Drosophila melanogaster: one gene and its partner. The protein of the gene in region 1 interacts with the protein of each later gene in a pairwise test. Each region holds a gene or a part of one and is shown on either strand. Other genes may lie near its edges. The genes, in order: klar and Lsd-2.

Region 1 (3,922 bases):
AGTAAAATGTTGCAGTAAACGATTTTCCATTTCCCGCTGGGTCAGCGGGTCATCGAGTGGGCGAGCGGGAAAACGCGAGATGAATGCAATATGGAAATCAATAAATAAAAACAGCATTTTCATTTAAGTGCTCGACGAGGAAATGGTTGTGGGAAAAGGCCAGAGAAAACCCCGTTCAAGTGTCGCCCATGAAAATGGAAAATCTTTCTTCGATGCGATGTAAATAAACAGTAAGAGTGCGACAACATTTGTTTATAGAAATGGAATGGAATTTAAAGTGCGAAATAGGGAAATACTTAACAAAACAAGGATCCAGAAATTGAGTTCTTTTATTTTCGACCAACTTGCTTGTTTTTCCTATTGGATTTAGACGTTTAAAAATACATTTTTTTACAGAATATAAAAGTTAGAAGCTAATTATCGAGTAATTCCTTTCTCCTGATTCATCACATGCTTTTCTTGTCCACATATCAATCCACTTTTCCATATTATCGATGCCAAAATAAACGATTGATTGATTGATTGAAAAATCAACCCACGCATTTTAATAAAAACAACAACAATTCAAATGTGCAGTTACACACACATAACTAAAAGGGAAGAGAGTGGAAAGCCGAAAGAGAAGAAGAGCGAGAGAGAGCAAATATTATCGCAGTTATTACGAAATCGCAATCGAAACATAACGGTAGATATAGATAGGAAAAGCACCAATACAATAAAGCGAATATAACCGCTAGAGGAAGAGGGGAAGAAGTGGGTGGGTGAAAAAGAAAGATCGCTGTCTCTTTCTCGCTCTCATACTTGCTGACTGCACAATTTGCAGTTAAAAGAAAGAAGCAGAACGGCCTGAGAAGAAAGACAAAGCATAAGAGTAACTGGCCAAGAAGAAGAAAAGAACAAGAAGTCAAGAACAAAATAGAAGAGAGCACACACACACACACATTCGTACGTACCCGTAGAAAACAGAGAAGGCAAAAAAGTCTTTCCTTTTTTTTACACTTTTATCCATTTTCAGTTGCATTTTATAAGATTCTTTAGTACAAACAATTTAACTTACTTGCTTTTTTTAGCAGCCACGCATGCGTCGAATGGGAATTTATGCTCCTTGAGACTCCAATTGGAATTTGTACCCCGGCTGCAAACAGTTTTTTTTTCTCTCTTGCTTTATTTCCACACTGCACACATACACATATGCAGCGGCACATACACACAAGTGCACGCACTGCAGTCGATTTTGTTTTTTTTGCATAAAACTTTATTTCATGTATGCCACTTGTACATTGTTTGTCACCAATTTGCGTATTTTGTACATCAAATTTTATTTTACTTTTCGTTGCCTTCCTTATTATTTTCCTAATCTTCACATGCACTTTTTTAGCGACGCCAACACACACATTTGCACACGCACACACATGGCGAGGATGAGAGAGGAGAAAGAGAGCAAAACACCGTTTTCGTTGCTTCCTTTTCGCTTATTCCTCTTTAGCCGCTTCTTTTCGATTCTGGCTCTTTTTGGCACTTTTAGCCCCAAGTTGCTAGCAATTCACTTAGCGTACGAGCACTAACAATTAAAACGAATAAGACTCGAAAAATACGATGGAAACGCGAACATATAAACAAAAATCTACATTGGTTTTATTGCAGCGCTACGCAGGTGTGTTTTTACGCGCTCATCGCGCAATTAAATTAGAACGCTGCAGATTTACTTAGTTCACTCCAGTCTGCCCAATGCGCGCCGCACACCTCGGAGCCGCAAATTATAAACACGACTGTCTTCGATTTAACGGGCTGGCCTATCGGTCCTATCGATGACTCGATAGTGCGAGCTGGAGTGTGACCATTTCTTGGTAAAAGCAAAATCGTGAAGAGTAAGTGTGCGATACTATCGAACTGTCATATACTCAACCAAATAACATCTGAAATCTGTTTCTCACTAAAACCGAAATTTCCATCAGGGTTAGGAAAATATAGTTTACGCACATCAAGTTGCATAGGTCAATCCTACGTAAAAAAGGCTCGATATAGGTAAGGTGGACCTCAGCCTGAACAGGGCCTAATGCAAATACATTCGATAAATAGATGTTATCGATAACCATTTGGTATATACCAGTAAATGCTTTGTTTTGGTTTTCATTCAGAAAATTGACATACATTTCTTAGTCTGCCTAAAGTTCCTTGGATTGAAAAGAGCAGTGCAGAATGTCGCACCGCCACCAGGACATTCCCATCCGCCCACGTTACGGTTATGTGGCCGAGGAGAGTGGCCCATCGGAAGGGGCAGCCAGGAGTTCTGGATCCGGAGCCACGCCCGCCTCCTCCTACACGGAAATTCCGTTCCTGGCTCAGTATCCGGGAGCGGTGCCAGAGCACGTGCTCCAGGATCTGACGCCCACAGCCACTGGCCATGCTGCGATTCCCGGAAGCACAAAGACAAGACCCAACGGCGAGAAATACCTTAACCTGGATTCGGGCGAGGATCCCGACGAGGAAGACGATCCCTTGGAGGAGGAGGACAACAGCAACTCGAATAGCAACTCTAAGGGCAGTTCCGGCGACATCGAAAGGCACAGACTGAAGGCAGAGAGCAGTGGGTTCTAGGTTATCTACCCATAGTTCCTGACTAAAGCATCTTCCTTCTTTCAGCTGTGCCCTACGAGCTGGACGGCGAAACCAGTGACTCCGACGGGATGCGCCACTTTGTGGCCCACGATCTAGAGGCCAAGTTGCGCGAGCGCGTGGCGGCTTCGGCCTACTCCTCGGAGCACACCACGCCCCTGAGCTCCATGGGTCCCATTGGAGCCACTTCCGGCAACGGTCTGCTCACGCGGCGGTTCCTGCAGTCGCGCAACATTCCCGAAGTGGACGGCAGCGTCTTGAGCGACATCGAACTGGAGGCTCAGTACTTGGCCAGCTCGGTGGACAATCTGATGGAAAACCTGGGCAACCTGCTGCACTCAATCTCCTCCATAACGGCCGACAACGTGGAGGTCCATCGCAACGCGGTCAACAAGCTGACGGACACTTTGGACGCGAATATCAAGTGCCAGTACCAATTGCTGGCCAAGGCGGAGGAAATCACCAAGTCGATGAAACCCACAGAGCAGCTGGGTCAGCGCATGTAAGTGGGTCAATTCAAGACAGATCCCTTTAGTGTAATGGACTTTCTCTTCCGCAGAAGGCAGATCAAGCGGCTGGTGGACATGTTGGACAGCACCATGTAAAATAGGGCTACGCTATCCTGTGATCAACCAATCAAAGAGATCTTGTCTTTCTAGTCATTCCGTAAATACATATAATCAGTGTTATAAAATCCATATGGAAAGATACCTTTCGCTTGTTTAAATCGTACTTATTCTAGCAGTTCCTCCAAAAAATCCACCTCCTTGGCTCACAGCTTCTCCACCTTGGCCTTGATGATCCTTAGGGGATCCACGGGGCGATCGTTCTTGTCGGTTTCCACCATGCCGATCCGCTTGACCACCTCCATGCCCGTGTAGACCCTGCCGAAGATCGTGTGCTTGCCATCCAGCCACTGCGTGGGCGCCAGCGTGATGAAGAACTGGGACCCGTTGGTGTCCGGTCCAGAGTTGGCCATCGAGAGGATGCCCGCGCCCGTGTGCCTCAAGTCGCCGTGCAGCTCGTCCGCGAACTCCGATCCGTAGATGGAGGCGCCTCCGCGGCCAGTGCCCGTGGGATCGCCGCCCTGGATCATGAAGTCCCTGATGATCCGGTGGAACACCACGTTGTTGTAGTAGCCCCTTCTCGAGAGTTCGGCAAAGTTGCGGCAGGTGTTGGGCGCGTGTTTCCAGTACAGCTCCACGGTGATTTCTCCCATGCTGCGCGGGGCACAAATGCCACAAATAATGTGATAAACAAATGCTCAGTCTTCAGTTTCGGCGATTATCGAGCATTCAAGCTCCGG
Region 2 (3,922 bases), on another chromosome or scaffold:
CATTGGTAACCTTCCCAACTCGTGGGCCTGGTTAATATGCGCATTAGCGGTTAAGCCTTATCAGACAGACATAATTGCCTTATATAGCTCATAATTCACTGAGGGGCATTAACCCATTTTGGATTTTTGGAATCTAGGTGTTTCGAAAGATGGAGAATATTTTGATCCCTTGGGTTTTTTGGGATCTAATTGAAATCCAAGCGAATAAGGTTATTTTCCAAAGTTTTCATTAACTCTTCATCTAACTCAAGGAAATTATTCCTTTATGAACTTATTGTAGATTTTAGGGACTAAAAACGTGCTGATGGATGGTTTAAAAAAAAAGGAGGATGGTGCTTCGTTTTAGGGGTTAACTTAGCACGTTTCGCGCTTGTAGTTTTCGTAATTTGTTTTCGTTTTGTCACTAATCGGACTTTGGATTGCCAAGCGAATTACACAGCATTCGGCAAGTATTACGTAGAATACTGAATGTAGATGTTTGACTGTGCAATGGCGTATTATCGATGCGGTGGCAGGGGTTCAAAGGTCGCACGAAGCTTTTGCGTGGCGTTGCCCATTGGCCATTGATAATCGAAGTGCCCCCATACACAGAAATACATATGTACGTATGCACATATATGTACATAAATATATATTGCAATGTACTTCAATCTAAACTTTGTTTGCGCCCGACACAACGTATTAATTAATCTAGTTGTCAAGCATGCCGAACAAACGTAGGCACTGTCTCTCTTCTTTTCCCAAATTTCTTTCTTTCTCTTCAGCTCTCTTGTTTTCTGAACAGAATAATTGGACCCCCCTCCAAGGACAACACAGAAGAATTGCACTATGAACTCTGCATAGATCGGGAAAAAATGATCAAAATTAGTTTGATCATGATAGAAGAATTGTTTATAATTTGATAATGGTACATTCTTTCACCTGATTTTCTAATTATGTTTTACCTCGAAAATAAAGATAATGAAAATTGTTTCAAAACTATTTTAAGTTTCATTTAAAACAGATATAGTACACAATTGTACTTATTTCAAACAAAGCGTTTGTACTATAATAATTCATCATAACAATTTAAGTGTACTGTTCAAAAACTATAGTACATTTATTCATATTATAATTACAGTTTGTCAAGAAACTGTTTACACACTGTGAAATAAGTTGAATTTTTGACTTTAAAGCTAAAAATTAAGTGTTTTTTGCTTAATTAAACGCAATTTTTGTATAAAATAAAATTAAACAGTATTTATTTTACTTATAAATCAAAAAATAAATTAAATATAATTTAATTAAATATAAAATAATAATTCGCTTCAAGCAAAGTCAAACAAATTTCATTAGAAGCGTTGTAAAAAGCAATGCAAAGCCAAAAATAACGGAAAAATCGAGTTCGTTCTAAGAAAAAGAACAAAACAAAGTAGGAAAACAAAATGTGTAAAGAGTTTCTTGACAGTCTCAAAGGTGTGTAAACTTGGATTATGTTGTTTATTTTCTTGTATATTTAATATTTTAATATTTGTTTTTTGATTTATAAGTAAAATAAATATTGTTTAATTAAATTTTATAAAAAAAATTGCGTTTAATTAAGCAAAAAACCTTTAATTTTAGCTTTAAAGTCAAAAATTCAACTTATTTCACAGTATGTAAACAGTTTCTTGACAAACTGTATATGGGGTCCTCAAAGAGAGTCCTAATCTCAAACTCTCGCTGATACTGCTTTGGCGCTCTGCTCTCTTCGCAGCGAAGCTATCTTACAGCAGCAAACGATCTAGCTATTTTCAAGATATATGTTGCAAAGAAATGTTCCTAAGCTCATTTATATTATTTGGTTATTTTAACCTTTTTATTTGTTTAGCACTGTTTTTTCACTGTCTGCGATATTTTATTACATTATTATTATTTATTACTCAACATTTTTGATAAACAAATTTGTGTATGGTTAAGTACACAAGTTCGAAGATTTTAATATTATAATTATATTTTGTAGTAATCGTGCTTGTCAAAGCTCATGGTTAAATTTTAATAATACAAAGTGTATTATAGCCACATGACCCTTGACTAGGCATAAATCTTGGAAAAAACACACTGCGGTTTGAACAAAAAGTAAGCTCTATTGGTAAAAACTGTACTTTTTAGCTATTTGACTAAAATTTCCTCATCCACTTCTTGCCACCTGCGGCATCACTGTTGCTCATAGCTTTTTGTTGCTCGGCGCTGGCAACACTGGCGGCGGCACTCGCTCATATAATAAACCAGCCGCGCAGCTCGCAAATCAGTCAGAGAGTCCCAACGAGCAGACGTGAGCAGACGTGCCAAAAAGTGCTAGGAATAAAATAAAACAGAGTGCTTCCAGAACGCAGACACACGCATACCCTACATTCACACACTCACTCGCAGGTTAAGCTGTTTTTTTGTTCGTGAAAGAAAAGAAGCAAGAGGCGAAAAGAAAAGTGCGGTGGCAAGCGGAAGAGCTTGATAGCGAAAGACAGAAAGAAAAAGTGAAAAGGGCAGCAGAAAGCAGCGCAAGAGGAACCAAAGAAAACTGATCATGGCCAGTGCAGAGCAGAAACACGCCACCGGGAACGGAACAACTGGCAATGGAACGGCGATGAACGATGTGGACCAGCCCAAGGATGCCAAGGACCTTCTGCCGCACCTTGAGTCCCTCGAGAGGATCATCAAATTGCCCGTGGTAAATGCGGCATGGGACAAGTCCCAGGATGTCTATGGCAAAGTAAAAGGTAAGTGCAGCAAAGGAAAACAGAAGAAAATGAAAATAAGACCTCCTCCGGGTGCATTGAACTCGCTCAAGTCCCGTTACTTTGGCGCGCCTAACGGCACATATAGAGAATAAACGACCGGTGAAGGAGGAGGTAAATAGCAACAACAATTGCAGCGACCATATGCACTCGAAGCCGTAATCGAAACCGAAACCGTTGCTTTTTTGACTTTGCTTCGCCATTTTATTTCGAGTTGCAATTCGAACTCGAAACGCACATAGAGGGCAGAAACAACTTTTTTTTGTTCAACTTTTTTTTCGTTTAATTGGCCAGAAATTAAGCTCAATTGATATAAATTGATTGCCGGTCGTTCAATAATCGAAATCACAGCAACAACAACCATGACCTAGCAATAAGAAAAGCAAAAAGGCCGGCACTTTGCCCTCGTGACGCGTTGCGTTCAAAGTTCGCTTAAAATTTACATAATAATAAAACAATCTTGGCCAACGCAATAGAGAGCGCAAGAGAGATAGAGTGAGGAGAGAGAGAGCGGTGGCTGACGGCAAAAAGGCCACCGCACGTAGGCTGCAGCCGCAGAGGCGCCGTCAACAAAAGGGGGCTCGTTTTGACAAGAGGAAAAGCAAAGCAGACCCAATGGCAACGCCACTGGCACTGGCAGTGCTGCTCGATCTGACCAAAAGTTAAGCTAAACTTGCACTTTAATTATAGCTAAAATAATGTTACTAGTTTTCTTCTCAATATTGATCCCAGCCTAAGTTTGCCGATCGTAAAAGCACAGATCCCTGAAAAAACAAATACTTAATGCATTTACTAGACAATACCAATTACCGCTGTCGAATAAAGCTAGATTTGGCTGGAAACTAACTAAAGCGGGCAGCACTTATGCTAAGGGGCTCTTGGGGTCTCACCGTCAGCAGCAACGACAACAAAAATTCTAGTTGGACTTTCGACTTGTTTGTGATATTTCGCAGTTGTTGTTGCTGCAGTTGCTGGGACTGGAATTGGAATGGATGATGTGTTTGACGAGTGACGAACTATCAAAGTCTAAACTGGCGGGCCCCAGACAGATAGAATGTAGGGGTCCAAGGGGCCCTGGGGTTCGTGAACTGCGCAGTTGCTTATCAGCCAGAAATGCTACATATTTATTATTACTATTATTATTGTTATTGTTATTATTATTACGGTTG

Evidence for each region.
Region 2: the proteins of klar (region 1) and Lsd-2 interact in a two-hybrid assay, tested with the Drosophila melanogaster proteins (one study listed by BioGRID).

What each region holds. Positions count from the first base shown.
Region 1 is NT_037436.4:538,842-542,763, forward strand, and holds the start of klar (klarsicht), read right to left. Parts: upstream 1,774-3,922; 5' UTR 1,058-1,773; intron 1-1,057. Other genes in the region: BORCS6 (BLOC-1 related complex subunit 6), read left to right, coding at 2,200-2,587, 2,644-3,118, 3,176-3,221; Cypl (Cyclophilin-like), read right to left, coding at 3,389-3,836.
Region 2 is NC_004354.4:15,074,561-15,078,482, reverse strand, and holds the start of Lsd-2 (lipid storage droplet-2), read left to right. Parts: upstream 1-2,262; 5' UTR 2,263-2,542; coding exon 2,543-2,735; intron 2,736-3,922. UniProt on the Drosophila melanogaster protein: Essential for embryogenesis. Required for normal deposition of neutral lipids in the oocyte.